4 linked regions of the Drosophila melanogaster genome follow. The gene in region 3 interacts genetically with the main gene of each other region. Each region holds a gene or a part of one and is shown on either strand. Other genes may lie near its edges.

Region 1 (4,604 bases), 8.9 Mb from region 3:
AGAAAGCGGACGAAAAAAAATGGACGCCAAATACAAGGTAGCAAAAGGTTGTGAGCGCACACACTGGCACACATGTTCCTGTACTGTACTGTACTTACAGCAATGGCGTGCAGCGTTTGCTTCTCTTTCGCTACTTTTGCTGCTTTCGCTGCTGCTGTTTCCATTGCTGCGTTTATATGGCCATAAGGCTAACGCTATTGTCGCGGCAGGTCTCTCAGGGGCAACATGGGGAGGTCGTTGCGACAGCGGCAACATTTGGGTCTTATTAATTTCCGTTTTGCTTATTTATTTTTACGACGCCTCGCACAGCTCGCCATTCGGTTCGCAGTTCTGGGCCCGTCAGCAGCCGAACCGCCGAGCCATCCAGGTCCCCAAATTCTAACGCAGTCGCCATAGTCAAAAGAACATTCGTAAGGAATTCCACCTTTAAAGCCCCGGTGATACCCTACGATTATTTAGAGAGGCATATTACACAACCGTAGATGGGGAGTACTAAAATGTTAATTCATTGCTTAATTCGATTGCCTTAATTTGCTGCTTTAGCTTTGATTTAATACATGAATTATAATAATAGAAGAGAAGAAGATTACTTTAAATTAGGAAAACTGATTTATAATTAGAAAAAAAAAACTACAAAATATTATTATTTAACTTTTTAAGTGAAGTTTTTATGGCGCGGTATTAAAATATGTATAGGTATTAAAATAAAATGCATAAGTGACTTGAAAAAGTTCGTAGGCGTGATGCTGCATAGAGAGCCAAGTAAAAAGGCGCAATCAACTAAATCAAAATTATACAGGGGAAAGCCATTTATCCGGTAAAACACATACCAATTAAGTTATTTTTAAAAGCTGACTTCAATGCGATCAAAAGCTTTCTAGCCAATTTGAGTTGGAATTGGCGATGTACTTCTCAAATTTGGTTTTGAATATAAATAAATATATATATTTAAATAAAATGTATATGTTGAGATCAATACTGTACTTCAACGCGTGAATAATATCATATTTTAAGCTTAAGAAATTATAAAACAATACAATTTTCAGAAATAAAAGATTTGGCCACGTGAACCTTTATTGGGTGTTGAAAATTTATATTTTTTTGCACCCCGATCTGCTAGTAATCACTTTCCCTAACGGTGCTTATTGTTAATAGACTATTTTCCAAGCATAGAGTACAGCAACTTGTTTCCAACCGACTTAACAGGGGCGTCAAAAACTTATGCGCTTGCTTGTCTAAGACAGCGGGTGGTAGAGGAGGGGGTGTGGGTGTGGGCTATACTAACCAGCAATGCCTCTACACCACCCTCCCCGCCAAACCTTTACACCCCCTGCGAAATGCGCCACTGCAACGAGAGGAAGATGGGGAACATCGGAGAGCGACAGCGAGAGAGAGCGGCGCAGTTGTTATCGCCTGGCCAGTGTTCCACTGCCACTCTGTTCCTTATCCTGTGCACTTTCTTCCTTATCTGTCCCGCTTTCACCGCCCTCGCACTCGCCACTCTCACTCTTCGTGTGCATTTCGGGTGCCCTTCGTGTCGCGACAATCGGCATTTTTAAAGAGGCAGTCGGCCAATGTGGCAGTCGGTTACTGGCTCGCAGGTTAGTCTTTCATTATCCGGCGTTTGAGCGTGTAACGTTTTCTCCGTGATTTCCACACGCAGCAGCGGTAAATACAACAACAACGACAACGAAAGAAGCAACCAAAACAATAACAACAACAATAGAAGAGAACAGCGGCAAACGGTTTTTCGCTGCGCTTCTCCTATTTTAAGTGCCGAGCGTTTTACTATTTTTACTACACAGCGAAACATACACAGATACACATATATACAGAAATATATGTAGGTATTTGTTGATGTGTTTGTTGTGCTTCAGTCAACAATAAAAACAAAAACAGTGTTTAAAGCTAGTGAAATGATCTTCCATAAATAAATTTTCAAAATTAATTTGAGAGCAAAAATGAATTGAAAGAAAATGCCAAGAAAGTGCAGCAAAAAATCAACAACGATGCTGTCGGAGAGTCGAAACTAGGCTAAATATCTTTGCATACTTTTGGGAAAGTTGTGCGGTACAAACACACACACCCGTTCGTAACACACACACACAGGACCTGCGCCTGCGGTCGCCGACTTTTGAACCTGTTTTCTGACCATTGACCATTGACCACCGACCGCCGTGCCGGCCGCCTCTTTTCACTTTTGGCAACGCGGACTGCAGCAGCCGCTGCAAAAAATGCAACTGTAAAGGAAGCTGCAAGAAAAGGAAAGGATGTGCACGAAAACGGCATAAACCTACAAAACTAGCCAAAAGAGTTCAGAGCGGTGCGGTTCAACAGCCTCCGGGTGTTCGTGTCAAGCTCGAAATTCGCAAATTCGGCGTCAGCTTCGTGCATCTGTATCTGTGTATCTGTATCTATATCTGGTGCATCTGTGTGCGGCCATTCTGCAGTTGCAGCTCTGCAGCGGCGAAAATTGTGTCAGCAGCATCGGCAGCGGATCCTGCAGCTCGCCACACTGGCGCCTCCATCTCCGATTGCCGGTAATGTATTCGTTTTAGGCGCATTCTACCCAAGCACGACTTAATCATACGCCACATGTGAAGTGCCGTGCGGTATGGCTAAGGCATTACGCATACGCCCCGTGTATGTGAGTATGAATAGTGCGGGCGGTCTTACCTTGACAACGGACGGGGGCAGTCCGTGACAATTGTCAGTTTGTTTTCCCATTTTCGTTTTTCTATCGATTAAGCCCACTGGCCCCTCGTTCGCCCTTTGTCTGCGAATTAGCGACAACTTCTGGGCCAAGCAGCATATGGCTATGTCCACCGTCTTTGTCTAACGCCTAATTGAGTCTTTTGTGAGTATCAAGAGACGAGCAGCACCGCAGAAGAAAAGAAAAGCAAATGGGGAATCCAGTTGACATCGGCATAAGTTCGAGTTTTAAGTTCCCTTGTGGACAGCTGGTTTTTGGGCTTTCTCGACTATCACATACCATAACTGCAATGGACTTTTTTTGGATCATTTTTCAAATTCTGGGCGTTACATATTTTCTTGATCATGATCGACTCGGCTTGTGATCCGGAAATGTATTTACTGTAGAGGATATAACTAACTATAAATAAAGCTGTATGGCATCCTAGCTTTGATTCTTACACGCTGTAAGAAACGAATGTCAGTAAGGGATATAATGTTAACATTCCAAAAGGCACGTCTCCCATATGAACATATAAAGTATATTAAGACTCCCAAGAAAAAGTAAAGAACTTCGCCAGAAAACGTTAGGCTTATGATTTCAGATTTCAGAGCATTAAACCACAAATGATTATTTATATGAAGTATATTTTACTGTCCCGCTTAGATGAAATTTTTCGCTTATACTGTAGACAGTGCCTAAAGTATCATGCCATCTGATAGGGTATCCATAGAAAGGAACCAAAGAAAACAATCAACACGGAGACTAGTAAACAATTGAAAAGCAAAAAACCCGCGACTCCTGCCCAAGTCGGCCAGCCCCTTGAGTTCTTTTTTCATTCATAGGACGATGGGTGGTAGCATTTGCCTTTGTCAATATCATTCAAGCTTTCATTCGCTTCACTTGCCTGACATTTGCTTACCATTTCAGTTTAGAGTTCACTTTGTTTCCCTTTGTACAAATAAATAGCCATTTATTCATTCACTCGGTTAAGGGGCTCCTTTTCACTGACCAATGAATGAAGGAAGGTCGTCCCATAAGTATTTGTCAATTGGACACAAGTTACAATGGAACTCAGTTTGGGGCTTTATATCTAATCAAACTAAATGGCAGCCATTAACTAGCTAGCTTAATCAAGTACCCAACATCAGCATGACTCGAAGCACTCAAAATGCTCGATTTTCTGATTCTGATAAGAGGAATACCTCGGGTAATTTAAAATTGAGTATGCAGCATATTCAGCGAAATGCAGAAAATCCAGATGAAACAAGATTTTGGAAAATTCATTTAATTTATGGCTCCGTCAATTAAAAGCAACAGACCACACAGCCAAACCGCAGTACAGCTCTCAGATGAAAATTCAGCGCTTTAAAGGCTTAGAGAAAAGTGGCAGGCACTCAAAAGCTTAGGCCTTGCATACGTAGCAGCCGCAAACAGTGGCGAAAAATTCTACTTTTTTCCATTTTCGGTGTGTGGGGCGACCAACTTTTCTAACTAACAAAAAAATAAACCGCGCACATGTGTACACAAAAGAAACTCGACGAAGAAAACTGCAAATATGTAACAAGATTCGGTCATGTTTGATTCATGAAACCAGCAGAAAGTTCCAGCCCCTCACCCAATTGAACAACAATGGTGAAATAAAGTTACAGTTGCTGTGGCCACGGCAACTGGAAGCCAACATTTCGCACAATGGCGCAGAATCAGCAGCTTTAGCAGCTGCCGTGCTTCCGGAAAAAATAGAGCCCCAAAAAGCATACTTTCGAGTGTAGAGTTTATGCAGGATTCCGTTGCAGCAGAGTTAATCATACATACGTCCTGACAGTAACAAATCTCCAGCTACGAGGCATAAATAAAAAAAAATTCACCCAGCTTCGCTTTACATATTTTCCTGTTAGATTTACCGTGTATG
Region 2 (4,647 bases), on a different chromosome or scaffold from region 3:
CAAACAATCAAAAAAGAAAAATCTATAAAATCCCATAAAAATAAAAGCTGCAAATTTTCGAAAAGTCAAGTTTTTTAATAGCAATAGCAATGGTTATTCTGGATTGGATTCTAACTTTTATGGTATTAAAAAACACACACAAGAATTTGCTGGGCACATTTTTAGGCACCCCTTCTGAAGTAAATAGAAAAATTTCCGAAAATATACATATTTAACATAGTAAATCGGCCAAACAACTTAAATGAGCTAATAATAAAAAGATAAATGCATATATCACAGGTGATCTTAAGCAGATGCTTAACCAAAAAACAACACGATAAATAAAGCAAACAAAAAGTGCCTAAAATACAATTATGATACCTAATGAAAGGTACACGAAAGAAAATGTAGATAATAAATAAACTGAAAAGAAATTAGGAATAACTCATAAAAATCAAAATTTAGAAAACTGTGCAGCTTGGTATTTACTAGCACCCTAGATGCTTAACAGGATTGCGAAGTTGGGATGGAAATACGCACAAGGAGATGGATGCATTGAGTGGGCGGAAGTGAGAGTGAGGCAACTAGTGTCCGTTGCCATTTGATGTGCACTCAATTAAAATTTGCATTCGGTTTATCGTTAGTGACTACTCGTTCAAAAATCACTGGGCAACCTGTGTAAACTCAATTGTTCCTTACAGTTTTGGGACATGCGCGGTGTAAATGTCAAAGTTGAACTTTATCAAATGCAATAGACAAACTAGAAAGGGCAGCGAAAACAGCAGAGTCGAAAATAGAGCGAGATAGGGAGCTGGAGTGACAGGAGCGGAATGACAACAGTTGGCGTCTTTTGTTTGTGCATGTCGTGACATGTTTGCTTTGACTCTGACCGAACGGAATGCGCCGTTAAGCTTATCTTCTTACCGTACACTTAGAGCGTCTTCTCTCTCTCTCTCTCTCACTATTTGCCCTTCAGCGTTTGTTCTTCTTTTTGGGCTTGGCAAGCTCTTGCTCTCGCTGCTTTTCTCCAGAAGAGAGCGCACAAGGACGCCGGGACGTTGGCATTTTGTGGGGTTCTGGCCATCCGAGTTTCTTGCAGAAATTACTGTATATTATTCATTGGCCGATATGCATAAATCCAATTTACGAAACCCCCCCTTTTCAGCCTAGCCAGCTGAGTGTCCCCGCAAAAGGAGAGAAAGGCAAAGAGAGTGAGAGTGACGCTTTCTCGCGCGCTTTTGTTGCGCACAAATAAAGTAAGGGGTTTTCCGCGAATCGTCAGTTGAGAATTGAGAACTGAACTGACCGTTTTCAGAAACGGTGGCGTTTTAACTTTTTTGTTATTTAATTAGTCCTTAAATAGTCCTTTTCTAAAATGTACTTAAAACATGTATGTATATGTAATGTAGAAATAGTTTTTTAATATCTAAGCAAAAATTATCCAGATTGCAAATATGTACATACATACATATGTATTTATGTATATACTAGTATACTTTTTATGAGTCTGGCGATTTTGCGGTGATACTCATTTTCGGAACGCCTCGCTCTCTCCGCTCATTTCTCTTGGCTTTGCTTTTGCTTTAGCTTCGTTTGCTTTTCGGCGTTCGTTCAGTTCAGCGTTCGGCGTTCCGTTCAGTTCATTTCGGTTTGGTTCATCTTACTTCAGTTCGGAATCAAACGCGAGCCGAGTCGCAATCGCAACTTTGCCGCCGCGCAGCGCACGCTGTTTTTTTTTCAGTGTGTACGTTTTGATTGCAAAAAGAAATAAGCAAACGCAAGGCAAGCAGCAACAACGCTGAAAACATTTTTCATCTGCGGCCTGGAAAAGCGCCCCGAAGAAAATGAATAGATAAATTGTATTAATCGCCCAATCGAGTCAGCATATATCCACTGTATATTTATATTTTGTTGTGCGTTGTTCGTTGTTTTTTTTTCTCCTTTGCGCTTTGGACCTTACTCTTTTGTTGTTAATTGTCCAGCTGCCCGCAATGATAATAATGTGAGTTGGCCCGCCGAAAGTTGGTACGTTTTCCACTGCTGCTCTTTTTTCACCTTTGTTTGTAACAAATGGAATAGTTTACAACAAAATTCGTAAAATTAGTTAAGGATACTTCGGTTGTCGTGTGTGTGTGTGTGTGGGTGGCAGCTGCGTAAATGCGTAAGCTGCGTCGCGTTTGTGTAAGTGTGTGTGTGTTGGCTGTGGCCAGGTCTCAAGGTCCCGTTAGCTCTCTCCCACCGCTCTTCCTGTTTCACGCTTTTGCTCTCTTTTACAAACAACAACAAGTCTGTGATAAGAATTTTCCATGCGTAATTTTCACGTAAAGCTTTGTTTTGTTATGTTTGGTACTTTTGCACTTTTATAAATCGGATAAAGTTTATTACAGTTCAGCGTTTTAAAAAGTCTTTTATAGCCATCTTAATGATTGATTTTTTAAAGTATTTTTTAAGGAATTTAAGTCAAATTAAAAATAAAAATATTAATTTATAACTATTTCTTTAAAAAAATGCTTTAATCTAAAAATGATAAATTTCTTAAGAATAATATTGTTAGAAATGTTTTCATTATGAGTTCATAAAAAATAACTTTTTTTGGTTAATGTTCCATAAATAATTTTTTACACATTTCATTATACTAAAAAAATAGGAACTTAACTCAGATGAAAAATAAAAATATTTATTCGAAAGCACTGCTCTGGAATTTATAACCATTGGTTTTTGAAAAAAAGTCTTTAATCTTAGAAATTATGAATTTCCTATGATTAATATTTTTAGGAATGTACATTTTTCATAAATGAGTCTATAAAAGATATCTTTGTACAAAATAAATATTATTATATAGGCCCTTTTTGAGATGAACCCAAGAAATACGTTTGTTGTGTTCTTATTTTTGCTGCTTATTGTATTTATAAATTATTAATAAGCACAAAGCGTGCCACAGGTGTGCACGAAGGAGTGAGCGAGACGGGGAGAGTGGGTGAGAGCCAAAGAGAGAGTACGTGACCTTTTTTTCTTGCTCTTTTCCGTCTAATTTAGCTCACTAAACTTGAGACTCGGATTTAATAGGCTTTCTTTCAACCTTTGCTTTCTTTGCATCCCAACCCGTCTATTTCTGTCTCTGTCTCGCGTTCATTTATTTCCGCTTGAGTGCGTTTTCTGTTGTTGTTGCTTTTCTTCGTTTTATTACCTTTTTTTGCACATTTTTCTACACCTTTTTTTTTATTGTATTGCTTGGTCAATTACCATGGCAATTTATTTATCAGTTTGGCGTTTTTGATGTTGCAACAATTGCGCAAATTTATTTCCTCTATTTTCACTATTTGAGCTTCTGTCTGGCAGACTTAATAACAAAAATGGTTTTGTGCATAAAAGCGTGGAATTTTACCCATCTTCATCTTATGATTTTACACGGAGAGAAAAGTATATCAAGCAATCTTAAAAATAATTTAAATATCAGAGTGGACATGGATAAAATGTGCATTGTGTTAATATATTTTAATAATATTAATGAATGAAAATATTTGTGATATTGCTCTTACTTTTCTCCGTGTGCATACCCTTGCTTTACCCTTTGGTCACATCATAAACAAAAATTTTTTAAATGACAAAATACATCATAAACAACCACATTGAAGGCTACGTGCACTTTGGCCGGATCTTTTATAGCCAGCACATGTGTGCGTTTGTAATTTGTTTATTGATGCACAGTGGGCCGCTTTTTCATCTCCGGGCTGCTATATCATTTAAAAAAAAAGGTGTTTTCTAGTCTAGATTTCTCGAATGCCCCCCGCCAAATAAGAAGACTTTAAGCGAATCGTAAATAATGTCCATTTTTTTATAAGCCCCATAAAGGAAGCTCCATTGTAATAAATCTTATCGCTGCAAAGTTTTTTCTCATCGTGAATATTAACATTTCTTATCACTTTTAACTGCAGGTGCTTTCTTCTTATATGAACTTTACTTGTGTTCTCTAAAAGTCGTAAAAATGTACATACATATGAATATTAAATTGGGAAAAGTAATTGCAGTTGTAAACAAAACCTAGCATTCTTCATATAGTGCTAACTGCACATTGTTACTTTCGCTAGCTTAACAGAAATTTTTTACACCAAAAAAGTTGTTTCACAACTTTAAAACAGTGGAAGATACATGTTTTCGTTATGAAATTATCTGTTTTTCTTATATATAGGACACACTTTCGATAACCTTTGACCCAGTGTAGCAAAGAAAATCTGTTGGCGCATTTTCTGTGTCACAAAATGTAATTATGCTAAGGAGGCAAAAAAAAAAAACAGAAAAATGGTGATGTGTGGAGGCTAACGGGGGGTGGAGAGTGCTAGGCGAAAAGGGGGCGTGGCATGGCAGGGGGAAGGGGGCCTAAAGCGGTGGCCATATTGTTGGGGCTTACGATTCGTTACGGCCTGCCATGTAACTGCCATGACATAAACATGTGCATGTCTGTGTTCGTTTCCCCTTCCCCCACTGCCCGCTGTGCCCAATAATTATTGATTGACGGCCCTCCTTTATTGTGCCTCTTATTTTAGCATCTAGAACATCCCGCCCCCTCCCCCATTTCCCCAACAATGTCTATCCAGATCTTATTAGGATCAAACCATATATAACTACAAACTAATGAAACTATGCCATAATATAATTACATATATCAAA
Region 3 (7,930 bases):
ATATTTGCAAGACTATTTAGGACGAAACACTGGCTTGGCGAATATGTTTTTCGGTCTGATGTTATCCTCGGAACGGTCACGGTTCTTCTGATTCCTCTGGTCGAAGTTCACGTTCTTTTATAGGCCAGAAAAGCAGGCGGATGGATGGCAGACAAACAAATTGCCATCGGAACAACGGGGCGGATGATGAATGTTGCTGCGATGCAAATGAGATGTTGCTGGCAACAGGTGGCCTTTAGCAACAAGTTGCAGAAACGTGGTACTTGAGATTCTTTTTTTTTATTATTCACACAAACAAAGGACTTAACTATTTAATTGCTATGAAAGTGGATTCCGCGGCTTAGAGCCAGCCGGAGATCATGCGTCCTGTGACCGTGGATTTGCCTCGTTCTCCGCCAGCTGCGGCACTGCTCTGACCCACCTTGATCGCCGGCTTCAGAGGAGCTGCTGCTGGCTTCTTGTCCTTGTCATCGGCAGGCTTCTTGTCCTTATCATCGCTCGGCTTCTTGTCCTTGTCGTCACCCGGCTTCTTGTCCTTATCGTCTCCCGGCTTCTTGTCCTTGTCATCGGCTGGCTTCTTATCATTATTGTCAGCAGGTTTCTTGTCTTTGTCGTCGCCAGGTTTCTTGTCCTTATCGTCGCCGGGTTTCTTATCCTTGTCCTTGGCATCGTCTCCTGGCTTGGAGTCTCCTGCAGCCTTTTTTGGCTCCTCCGGACCGCTCTTCTTTTCGTCCGGCTTGGAGGCCCCATTGGTTGCCTTAGTTGCTTCTGGTGCTCCAGCTGCTCCAGGTTTCAGTTTGGAATCCGGCTTGGCATCCGAAGGAGCGGAGGGAGCTGCGCTCTTGGCTGCTCCATTTGTGGCTGCCGGCTTGCTAGCTTCGGTCTTGGAAGACTCCTCCTTTTTGGCAGCGGCCTCGGGCTTGGCGGATTCTCCAGGCTTCGGCGCAGCAGGCTTGGTGTCTCCAGGTTTGGTTGGTGGTGCCGGAGCGTCCTTCTTTTGTGACTCACCGGGCTTGCTGATAGTGCCAGCTGCTTGGGGCTTTGGAGCTCCCGCACCCGGAGTTGGCTTCTGATCCCCGGGCTTGGGACCACCTGCTGACGGCTTGGAGTCCTTGGGAGGCTGCTGCTTATCCTTATCATCACCTGCTTTCTTGTCATCCGTTGGCTTGCCCATCGTGCCGGGCTTGCCATCGGCTCCGGATTTTTCATCCACATTCTTAACCGATGCTCTTAGAGCAGCTGCAGCCAACATAGAAGCTCCTCCTCCAGTTCCACCACTAGTTATGGACTTTTTAGACTGCAAGTGAGATTATATATTAGCCAGGGAATACATATACATATATTGATTGGAACGTACCCCAGAGGCATCCAGTGGCTTCTTTTCGCCTTCGCCATTTGGAGCACCCTCGTCATCGGCCAAGGAAACCTCGTCGGCAGCCATCTTCTTCCGCATGAACTTGACATAAGCCACTCTTGTGGCACGCGTCACATCACCCAAGTTGGGATTGAATTCTGGAGGAGATCAAGGGTATGGAAATATACATACATTGGGCACATCTTTATTAATTTACCAATCAACTGGGTCTGGTTCATCTGAAGACCCTCATTCGCCTGCTCGATGATCTTCCTCCTCAAGCTTCGCTGGCTATGACGTTGCATGGAGGAGCGCTTGGAGCCAATGGGATCGGAGGCGAAAGTATTCTTCCTCGCAATGGCGTTCCAATCCTTGTCTCTGTTGAGAATAATAACCATTATTCAAAGCGTCTTACAGATTTAAGTGGACCTACCCCTTCTGGGTCTTCTTTCTGCCGATGACCTTGGCCAGCGATGAGAATATATCTCGTCCGCTCTCAGATTCGCTCATTTCCTGCTTCAGATTCTCGACGAAGCCGATTTGGAAGTCCTTAAGGATGCGACGTTCCATCACCTTGCCCTTGGTGGTTCGAGCAACTCCTTCAAAAGTAAGTTTAGTGAATAAAATCCATTAAAATCCATTCTAGCTTTGTAGTCTTCTAGCACAACATATTTCAAATTAATATTCAAGATGGGGTGAACTTTATTAGGTATTCAAAAGCTAATTGTAAATAATTATTCATATATACTGCTACTTCTATCTTAAGACACGTGTAAGTTGCCAATTTGGATGTGGGTAGGCTTCCCTTACCCTGCGACTTCTTCTCAATGTCGGGTACATCCCAGTTATTGTTGGTGAAAATCTCCAGCAACTCGAACCGCAAGGAGCTGATGTCCTGGCGCACCTCAATGATATCATCCTCGGTAATGCCGTAATCGTCCCGCCGCCTCTGCTCCGCCGTAATGTACCTCCTGACCAGCAGCTTCATCACTTTGTCATGCAGCGTCTGTGCCCGTTCCATGGACTTTCGCTGGGAGTTGGAACAGGGAGCATTAGAGGGTGGAAGGACACAGAAAGGATGTATTAGACGTCAATTTGACGCACAGATAGCTCTGCATGGGCTTGATTGAAAATGATTTCGCTTAAGATTTGTATTGATTGTGAGCCGCCTCTCACTGTGAGGTGATTCAACTTGAAAAAATCGAACTTTCGAAATGTTACTTACATTTAAAAGTAATATGATAAGAAATATCATTTAAAAGTAGAGTACACTGAATTTAATATATATGTGTGGATTTGTATAATACTTAAACTGAAATATTGAATTTCTCTGAGTGTAACTTACCATGAAGCTCTTGGTTCGTGACGGTCGCTTTCGGCCCAGGGTCTTCCTCAACATCTTCATGTTGGGACAGAGGTTGAAGGGCGGTGGAATGGTGCCGCCATCCTCGAAGTAGCTCATCCACAGCTGGGATCGGGCGAACTTCCACTCAGTGTCGGCTCGCTCCGAGATGATTTGGTAGGAGTTGGACATCATGGCAATCAGCATGTTGAGAAGCACAATGATGTTGATAACCGAATAGGAGCCGAACATTAGCAGTGCCCAGAAGCGGGTGAAGCTCTTGATTCCCGCCAGATCGAAGGAGACCAGGTCCACCAGGCCAAAAGAGGCCCAAAAGAGCGATTGTGATGTTTCGAATAAGCTAAAGTAAATTGAAATGGGATGCCAATATGATAAAGTACATAGAAATGAATGTAATATACTTGGAAAATCTTCGCCAGATGGTACAAGCCTTCTCCTGGTCATCAAAGTCAGCCACATCGGGATGCAGGTGATAGCACTTGTTCTTCTCCAGCTCAGCGTAGTACCATAGCAACTGGTTGAGACCACATCCGAAGGCAAACAACACCAGTGTGTAGATGAAGAAGAACTTGATGATGTCGATTATCATGCGACCCAGTGAAACTTGCAAGGGTCCCAGGTGGGGATTAATGGAGAAGATGTGGACGAGCTTTAGATAGGAGAAGACCATTCCGGCAGCAAAGGCGCCCTCTGATAGAAGCATTGGATCAAACGGATGCCAGTGTTCCCTTGGGAAGTAAGGATCTATGCCCCGGAACCAGAGATCACGCTGAAATCAATTCGTTTCAGTAACTCCAATTTATTCATTAGATTCATATGGACTCACATGGACGATTACCCAAGCGGTGGCCCTACAAAGAATCCACGTCACATAGAACATGTTCGATATGTAGTCCACTATGTTCCAAAGATCCATGATGTACTCAAACAAGCCGTCCGAATATAAAGATTTCAGTTCCTCAAATATTAGAGCCATTATGTAGGTAATGATTGCCAGTTCAATGGGACCCGGTAGTGAACCTCTCTCGTGTTTGCGCCAATCCTCCAGCATGGTCAGCATCCAGGGAAATGCGAGGAGTTCAAAGGTGATTTGCACCACCCTCAGGGAGGCAGCACCCAGGAGCACTGTGAATGGGCGCATATTTAGATGGATGAAGTGTTAAGCACCCACTTTACCCACTCAGGAAGAACATGTAGGAGCAGGAGTGCGTGATGAACTTGACAAAGGGCTTGCGCATGAACTTGGCACCCTCGGAATCCGGGGCCAGGATGTACTTCAAGCTGTAGATGGGGAAGCTGCATCCCAGCTTCACGACATCCATCAGCTGCTGGGAGGCCTGCTTGCGCCGGAAGCCCGGCAGTCCGTCGTACCAAATGGCGGCCAACAATTGTTGGACATTTGGATGTGCCACAAACTAGAAGGGGGAGTAATGTTTATAAATTCAAGCAGGGTACTAAGATCCGTTTCTATATATAAAGCTATTAAATCCCAGTTGGTCTGTGGTGGATTAGGCATGGGTATCTAGCCACAAGCTTGTAACCTTCACAGTTCCTTAATGTGCACGGATTAGTCCGAACCCACCGTTTTTTGCTTATAGCGAATGGCCAGCTTCAGTCGTTCCAGGGTTTGCCGCTGGCCAAGGCACCAGATGTCGTGGGACGGCTCGTGGTTGAAGTTGAGCATCACCTCGAGTTCCATGGATGTGCGTGCGTGATCCAGGAGCGAGGTCCCGAAGTCCTGCACCATCTGACGCATCTCCTGTTGGGCAAACACAAACAAAGGCTCGCATTCGCATTCGCATAGACTCTAGTGGCACACTGGCCACCGCTTACATTGCACACTACTACCGTACCGTGTATTCGGCACGAAACTCCGATTCCATCGCCTGCAGGCGCTTGAGTTCCCAGGACAATTGGAAGGCGGTCAGTACAGGGTCCCGGGAGCTGAGCGCTATCAGCGAGCTGGCGGACAGGGCGCGGTATGCGTTGATCCTCGACTGCGAGTGGCGCAGGGAGTCCGTCATCTGGGAGGTCACACACTCATCGCAGCCGCACCTAGAAACAATTGAGATTAAGCGATGATATACAAAGTGTACGGAACCCAAGAGTTCTATAATAATAAATACATTTAAATCAATCTGAAAGGAGTACAAAGGACCTTCTCTCCTAGCAAGGACATTTATGACGCTGTTAAAGGCTTGAGTCCATTGACCCAATTTAAGAACATTCAAGGACCTGCTCTTCCCACACACAACATTACACCCTGTATTAATATTTCACCCTAATTTGCCCGCAATTATCTAAAATTAGAGGCACCCAGCGATGTGCTACATAAGTGTGTTGCCAATTGGACAAACAATGGAACGTGCCGCTCGAAGGACGAGGAAGCTCACTACATAGCCATATCACCGAGCAACTGCATCCCTACACCACCCCACTCACTTGACGTCGTGCGGCATGGGCAGCGTGGCCCCGCGATCCAGGAGGATTTTGAGTATCTCGTAGTTATTTCGGTGGGCGGCCAGGATAAGGGGCGTGATGTCCACGGTGAAGGTGGACTTGGAGCGGTCCACCGCCTCCCAGCTCTGCCAAAGGAGGGGAAAAGAGTAAGAGTTGTGGCATATTCTGCGGCAGGATGTGACCTACGTATGGCTGGCCCTCCTTGTGGTTGGTCTCCTCCCACTGCAGCAGCTCCTCCACCGCCTCCACATACTCCTCCGAGATGGCGTGCAACAGGGCGTCGCCCACCTCGATGTTATGCTCCAGCAGGATCACCATCAGGTCGAAGTTCTCGTTCTCGATGGCCGAAATGAGGGCGGAGCGGTTCATGGGATCCGTGCAGTTAATGTTGAACTTGTCCGTGCCCTGGTACTCCTCGAGGATCCTTCAAGGACGAAATCATATTAGCCGAGTTACTCGAAGCCATAGGGAGGAAGCCTCACTTCTTGACACCTGGCAAGTCACCCCGCTCGCAGGACAATATGAAATTCTTCTCCACATCGCTGAGGATGTACTCCTCGGCCATCATCAGGTCGTAATCCAGGCGAGACCCCAACGCCTTCTCGGCATCGGATTCCGTATTGCTGCCCATATCTGCACTGATTTACTGGTCTATGCGAACGCGATTATCAGGATCGGATCACTCGGTCACTTCACATCTCACAAACACTATGGGCATTTATCCCTGCTCCTCGGGGAGCCTTGGCGTAATCCTTTCGCGCACTGTATCCTTTAGTGTTCCATCGTGGCGATGTTCCGCCTCCAATTAGCCGCGTTGCACTGCTGAAAAGTGGCAGCCACGGGTCGCTATATTCCACTAATTACATTAGTGCCCAATGTGGCTAAAACTCGGTCAATGTGTGGGCGAACCCCGAGTCAATGGGCCCATTTGACCGCACTTCGGTAATTGTGGGGCTGCATTTGGAGGCAGCAACCGATTTTAGCGATTTCAGTTCAGGAATCTTTCGTCCATTTGTGGTTGCATTGCACGTGATGAGCGACTTTCGATTTTCGAAGCCCCAGCAACGGAATCGCACCACTTTTATGCCTGAAAATCCAAATCAATACTGCCCAGTGGGTTTATATGTAAGTGAAAAACAAAACGTGCTAAATGGAACAATATTATCTGCTTATATTTCGATGAAATGATGCATACAGTTGAGATATGAAATTAAATAGGTGTCTAATATTTTGTACCCAGCAATATAGATCAATGCCCAAAAAAAAAATACGCACTTTGCATACTTTTTGACACCTATTCAAGCCGAAATTCAAAGCTACTTAATATTCAAAAAGTAGCATGAGGGTGTTAATTTGCGAGTAAATAGGGATTCATGGACTTGGGTTCATATCCTAGAACTATTCACCGAGAAAAGCCCTTAAAAATAGGAGAAAATGCAAGCTTTTAAGCTTTTGGCTAACCAACAGAGCCGGAAAACACACCACACCTGCAGTTTACAGTCGAGTATCTACCGAATTGAAATGATTTCGAATGCCTTTTGGGCACTGGGTCAGTGATTCTGACTTTGTGATTGATGAATATTGATTAATCTGCATGGGAAGTGGGAGGGGGAGGTGGGGTGGTGTACATCTAAGACCCAACTCGTCCTTGGCAGCCGAGCGTCTTGAGCCTTGAATGTTGAATGTTGCTTACTTCAGGGCGCTCGCAGGGCTTTTGTGTGTCAATGCACTTGGAACTAAATGCCAGCTCCTGGCTAAAGGCGGAGAAAAGGAAAAGGAACAAGCCCACTTTCACGGAGCAGCCCTTTGAGATGAATGTGTGTGTTCGAAAGGTGGGGTTCAATGGAGCTCCGGGCGGAATGGCATCGTACGTGTTCAAGTCGTACGGGGTTTTTAGCGGGGCCAATGCACTCCACACTCCACTCGCATGGCTTCCAAGAGAAGAGGAAGGAAGTGATGGTGGCCCAAGGAATTTCAAAATTAAAGTCACAGCTGTCGAGGGGAACTCATTAAGTGCGAATTAATTAGAGGCCATAGCTGAAAATACCTGGATGGCATTCTCGTAATTATATAAAGGTACTCCTCATTACACAAATGTGGCTAAATGCACATTCTTCTTATAAGTTCCCATTAACTAAATGCTATGTTGGGTTTATACATGATTTTCTGCAGTGTACAACTGGGTTGCACTCAATGATTCATTGGCCTCCAACAAAACTCCTGCCTTATTTAGCTTTTAAGGACCCTTGTGAGTTATGTGCTCAGTTCTCCACGAGAAAAGCGAAAGAGCTCATTTTCCCTGGGTTTGCGTAGCAGGTTGCACTTTCACTGTCTCCCCACCGGAAACCGTCAAGATTGCGGGATAAAATTCATTTTATGGCCATCTGTATTAAAATTATATCTCTAAGCCCTCAACATGATCGTAAAAATCTATAGTATCAATGCTGATTTGCTTTATGGCACCGATAAGATACTTATGTGTTTAAACAAATTGAATGTACCCACGTAGAAAATGATTTTATGAATTGCATCCGATGAGTAGTATTTAACATTAAATTTATTGTATTTTTAACTGATTCGCAAATCATTGAACACTGATAAGTTTACGTTTTTTATATTGCTGTACAAGCCTCTGCGTTGTTTATTTTTTGTCTTTTTGCTCCTATGTAATCTGGATGACATTAATTTACTGCCCTCCAGCTCAACATATGGGTAGTTTGACACTTGGTCAAGATAAGACAAGGGACTTCTTC
Region 4 (4,832 bases), on a different chromosome or scaffold from region 3:
AAAAACAAATTTTAAAGGGTGGGCAAACGAAATTATTTAGTTTTAAAAGGTGGGCAATCGAAATTATTTAGTTTTAAATGGTGGGCAAACGTTTTTTATTGGAAATTTTTATTTTAAAGAGGTGGGCTAAGGAAATTGGTTGTATTTTAAATGTGGGCAATCGAAAAAAAATTTTTGTTAAAGGTTTTTTAAAGGGTGGGCAAACGATAAAAACTAATAATAATGGTTGGGCAAACGTTTTTTGTTGATAATATTTGGTTTTAAGAGATGGGCAAACGATTTACTCTCTGATTAGACCGAGGTAAACTTAAAAGCCTTATATTTTCTAAAGTATAAATTTTTTCAAAATTCTAAAGGGTGGGCAAACGTGGGCAAACGATGTTATTGCGATTTAAAAAAAAAAATTTTGAAAAAAGCGAAATTTTTGATTTTCGAAAATTTTCGAACTTTTTCGAAAATTCATATCTCAAAAACTGGACGTGGGCAAAAAAACTAATTGGTGGGCAAACATGGGCAAAAAATGGGCAAACGATTCCAGCTTTCAAATTTCAAAAATTCGATTTTTCCGACCCCAGCTTCTTTGAGCTACCTAAACTGCCACACACAACAATGATTGATTGTGGAAATTTTTGTGGGGGTAAAAAATGGTGAATAAATTACCACACTGGTTGGTAATTGGTTTGGTTTGCAATGCAATTCCATTCGATATTGAAATTCCCAAAAATTGTTCAAATGGCAATTTCTATTAATTAACACGGTGCTTTTGGCAAAGGAAACACCCTTACAAATGGATATACAATCTGCAATCAAAATGCGATGCATACGTGTTTCCCCCTCGTTGCTGTCAAATAGCCCGCGGTATCTTTCGACCATTTTCATTCTCTTTTCTGTTTTTTTTTTTTTCTTCTTTTTTTTGTATTTTGTTTTCAATTTTTATGTGTATTTTTATTGGATTTTATATGCGAACCCAACCCCTGGGTCACGAATAAAAAAAAAGCGACAAGAAATGAAAATTGAATATTTTATGTGAAGCGAAGCAAACAAGAGCAAACAAAAAATTGTGGATCAACAATTGAAACATCGCGTTTTTATATGTACGCAAGACAAATGGGTAGCAATTTCTTTATTTCAGAAACAAACAAAGTCGCCTAAAACAAAAATCTTTAAACCATTTCAAAGCGCACACATTTATTATTACAAATATGTGCAGGCTTCATTCATGTTTATACTTTGGTGATTTAAAATGTAAATTCTTCGTATTGATTAAAAAAAAAATATATAAATTTAAAGTTTCCTTAGAGAAATTTAAATTGTATATTTACACTTGGTTACCGCGACGAAGTGCCTTCGTCGTTGAATGCAAACTTGAGGACAACAAACGAGCGGAAGCACAAACACAAATGCCACGTATACGCCACGTTGTCTGACATTTTCCCCTGTTACCGGGGAAATGCGAAATCAAAGATTGCCAACCGCACAGAGTGCCGCCTTTCGCCATTACGTTATTTTCGCCATTTCGCGCTCTTATGTCAGAGAAAAGCCGGTCACGCGCCAATACAAGAGCTGCAACATCCTCCAGCATGCAGTTCCTTAAACGCACCGATTAGCAAAAGGACACGTACACGAAGGATGCGTGTGCGGATGTCGTTGCGGATGCCAGTGCGGATGCGAATGTGGCAACAAGTTCGGCTAACGAGACTGGCTGGCCGACAAGAGCACACCCAAATCCTTAACCGGAGTGGCCTAAAAAAAACCTAAACCGCTCGCTTTGGCCAGCAATTTTCAATGAATGGCATCGTTTAATACAATTGCCCACACGGCGTATGCGTAACGAGTTTGTTTCGCCGTGTTTTTGCCGAATTTCGAACCGAAATTGCAGACGATTTTTCATTAAATCATCTTATTGACACACAGACATTCGAAAGTAGGGGGATACTCTGAGACAATGAGAATGTTGGTAATTGAATTTATACAGAATGAAAAGCAAAGGGCATTCCACGGAATTTTATTCAAAATTACACATTGTTGCACACATATTTGTGGAGCCTAAAAAGAGCTCGAGCTTTAAATAATTTTTAAAAAATTACTGCTTTAAACTAAGATATATTAATATATTCAAGCAATTCGAGTCAACTATTTTACATCTGTGGAATTTTGAAACTCTTTGTAAACTATAAAATCCGATTATATTTTATGATATTCCAAAAAAACTCATCAAATTCAACACAACAAGCTGAGAACCGAATTCTTGATAATTTCCATGCGTGATTCTATTAACTGAAGCATACAATACAATATTCTGTGGAGCTTTTCCTAAAACTACGAATATTTGCCAAAAATTGTAGCTGAAACTTTAAATAAATCTGGGAATCCCCATTTGAAGACTAAATATAAAAACATTTCCGAAAAATCACAATACAAACACGCTGCTCACAATCACACACGGCAAATAAACTCTCACATCACGAAATTAATCAACAAATTTTCCAAGGAAATTTTTCAATGAATTTCAATAAGTATATTCATATTTACCGTTTCGGTTTGCCGCTTTAGTTTTTCTTTACAATGGAACGCACTTTTCAGTCGTTCGAATCAAGTCAAAATTTCGTGCACATTTTTGCGTGCTTTTACACGTTAACAGTTAGGATTCAAAAAGCACAAAAACTAGATCTTAGTCTTACATAGTTTTAAGTTTTAAGTTTGTATCGTAGCTTATATTTCAAGTATTGAATAAATACTTTGGAATATCTTTGAATATTTTCGAATATTTGTACAAGTTAATATTGGTTTAGCACAACACTTAGAAGCACAATCAAAAAAATAGTTACTTTATATTTAGATATTGTAAGTTTTTCAGTATGTTTATGTTTTTCTTATGGTATGCGATGTTTTTGTTGTGTTTTGGGCGATGTTGGTGTTTTTTTTTAAGAACTTGGTAGTTCCAGAGAGTTTTGGTATTTTGCTTTGAAATGTTTGGCCTGCTTGGGCTGTTCTGCTATTTAAATGAGTTATTTATTTCTAGAACAACGCGCCTCGTCGACCGTTCAAATGAAACTGATGCGAAGGCGACGCATTGCCAGGAATATAAAGCGACCGGGAGCGAGAGGGCGCTATTGAGCATAAGCGCGGGAGCGAGCGAGAGGCCAGCAATCGGCCGGCAACTTCGGCTGTGGTCGGCAAAAGCCGAAGTACTATAAACACCTGTAAGCAGCCTTCGATGCCGGCGAGAGAGCGAGAGGGAGAGAGGGAGGGAGGGAGAGAGAGAGAGCGAGAGCGAGCAAGCGAGCGAGTGGCCGTATCGTTCTCACTCCCTCACCCTTTGCCGCCCAACGCCCACATACTCCCGCTCGCCCCGTCTCTGTCTCACACCCTCTCTCGCTCTCGCTCTCTCTCTTTCGCGCTCGCATTCGGAAGCGGAAGGAAACTCAACAGTTGGCACATTATTGAGTGGAGAGAGGAGCGGAGAAAGTAGAGCGGAGAAATGGCGAGAACTGCGGAGAAAGTGCGGGCGGCAGCGCTACTCTTTGTTTTTGTTGTCGCTGTTTGTTGCCATCAAATTTATGGCAATCATTTGTGCGGTGTTTTAAGTTGGTCCAACACAAGTGCCCAAACTATCGATAATTATCGAGAGAGAGAGAGAGAGAGAGAGAGTGATGGCGTGTGAGGGCGATGGAGGAAGTAAGGGATTAGAATAATCCAAACGATTATCGTAATGATATTGTTAGCTATTAGCAATCAGATTGTTTGCAATATCTAAAACAATTTAAATAAACGATTTTATGGCATTAATTATCGGTATAATCGGCAATATTGTTATCGATCAATATCATTCCTAACAACAGGAAGAAAGCTGCTTATATTTTTTTGAAAAATATTAAATCGAAGAAATCTTCAAGGAAATCATTGGTCTCATGTTCGGTGTCGACCTCGTCGAGTAACTTCTTCAATCTTCGTAATAGATCCTTGTCCTTTTCGAGAGTATCCAACAGTTGTTCAGCATCGCTTTTTAATAAGCCCAATTTACGTAGTAAACGTATCACACGCCTTTCAAATGGCGTAAAGGACTGACGTTTGAATCGGTTGTATCTCTGCGGCAGCTTCAAGGATATCTTGTGTTGTACAAATTCCACAGAATTCTCTTTATGTTTAGTAGTCGTTAGCTGCTCCTTAGATATCCCGTAGAATTCCTTATCACGACGTTCAAGGCTTAATCCAAAAGCGGCCAAAAAGACCAAGAGCCCAAAGATATGCAAGTAATGCATTTTTAAAAACTATGCACGGCCACGTTGTCCAACTTCTACTTATATACACTTTCAGTAGTGCACTTATCAGCAAAAAACAAATTAACTCAAACTCAATTAGAGATAGCTTCACACTGAGTTATGTCAATGCCGTGACTTTAGTTTAAAAATTTGCCCAAGAAGAGTCAAGAACATGACCTAACTTACTTAACACTGCGAGTCGCCCATTTCCTGCTCATATATTATTTAAATTGAAGAAATTATTACAAAACCAAAGTAGCATTGCGTTTTGCGTAACTCAAATAAGGGCAGTCAAACGAAAATTACCAACCGACTTTTATATTTTCCATAAATTTTATACTACTCGAGATGGATTGTGACAATTCGAGTTTGGAGGAGAAGCGAGAACGCGTTGACAATGCAATCCTAACCGCCATGGAGGATCTGGATCGGGATTATCTGCGCAAATTGCAGATCGAGATGCACAGATGTGCGACCGCCTGTTGTGCGGATGCGGACGCGAATGCGGAGGCGGTGGAGCGGTGCATCGATCGCTGCCAAATCCGTTTGACCCGATCACGCTGCTTCGTA

The links.
Region 1: of trp (region 3) and Calx, changing one suppresses a phenotype caused by changing the other (phenotypic suppression), as found in Drosophila melanogaster (3 studies listed by BioGRID).
Region 2: of trp (region 3) and rdgB, changing one suppresses a phenotype caused by changing the other (phenotypic suppression), as found in Drosophila melanogaster (one study listed by BioGRID).
Region 4: of trp (region 3) and rdgA, changing one suppresses a phenotype caused by changing the other (phenotypic suppression), as found in Drosophila melanogaster (2 studies listed by BioGRID).

The regions. Positions count from the first base shown.
Region 1 is NT_033777.3:20,976,581-20,981,184, forward strand, and holds the start of Calx (Na/Ca-exchange protein), read left to right. Parts: upstream 1-1,602; 5' UTR 1,603-2,540; intron 2,541-4,604. UniProt on the Drosophila melanogaster protein: Na(+)/Ca(2+) antiporter that couples the energy of a Na(+) electrochemical gradient to the movement of Ca(2+) against an electrochemical gradient across a membrane, which contributes to the regulation of cytoplasmic Ca(2+) levels.
Region 2 is NC_004354.4:13,761,108-13,765,754, forward strand, and holds the start of rdgB (retinal degeneration B), read left to right. Parts: upstream 1-1,644; 5' UTR 1,645-1,838; intron 1,839-1,961; exon of another isoform or gene 1,962-2,004; intron 2,005-4,647. UniProt on the Drosophila melanogaster protein: Catalyzes the transfer of phosphatidylinositol (PI) and phosphatidic acid (PA) between membranes. May control phosphatidylinositol concentration in transport vesicles from the subrhabdomeric cisternae (SRC) to the rhabdomere.
Region 3 is NT_033777.3:29,914,256-29,922,185, forward strand, and holds trp (transient receptor potential), read right to left. Parts: upstream 6,035-7,930; 5' UTR 5,809-6,034; coding exon 5,660-5,808; intron 5,602-5,659; coding exon 5,364-5,601; intron 5,303-5,363; coding exon 5,160-5,302; intron 4,773-5,159; coding exon 4,571-4,772; coding exon of another isoform or gene 4,562-4,570; exon of another isoform or gene 4,551-4,561; intron 4,477-4,550; coding exon 4,300-4,476; intron 4,133-4,299; coding exon 3,898-4,132; intron 3,843-3,897; coding exon 3,544-3,842; intron 3,487-3,543; coding exon 3,119-3,486; intron 3,058-3,118; coding exon 2,700-3,057; intron 2,385-2,699; coding exon 2,165-2,384; intron 1,954-2,164; coding exon 1,788-1,953; intron 1,733-1,787; coding exon 1,572-1,732; intron 1,513-1,571; coding exon 1,358-1,512; intron 1,298-1,357; coding exon 341-1,297; 3' UTR 266-340; downstream 1-265. Other genes in the region: Capa (capability), read right to left, coding at 1-2. UniProt on the Drosophila melanogaster protein: A light-sensitive calcium channel that is required for inositide-mediated Ca(2+) entry in the retina during phospholipase C (PLC)-mediated phototransduction.
Region 4 is NC_004354.4:8,923,397-8,928,228, reverse strand, and holds the start of rdgA (retinal degeneration A), read right to left. Parts: upstream 3,046-4,832; 5' UTR 2,533-3,045; intron 1-2,532. Other genes in the region: CG43255 (uncharacterized protein), read right to left, coding at 3,855-4,262; CG12661 (uncharacterized protein), read left to right, coding at 4,611-4,832. UniProt on the Drosophila melanogaster protein: Required for the maintenance of phospholipid turnover within the photoreceptor.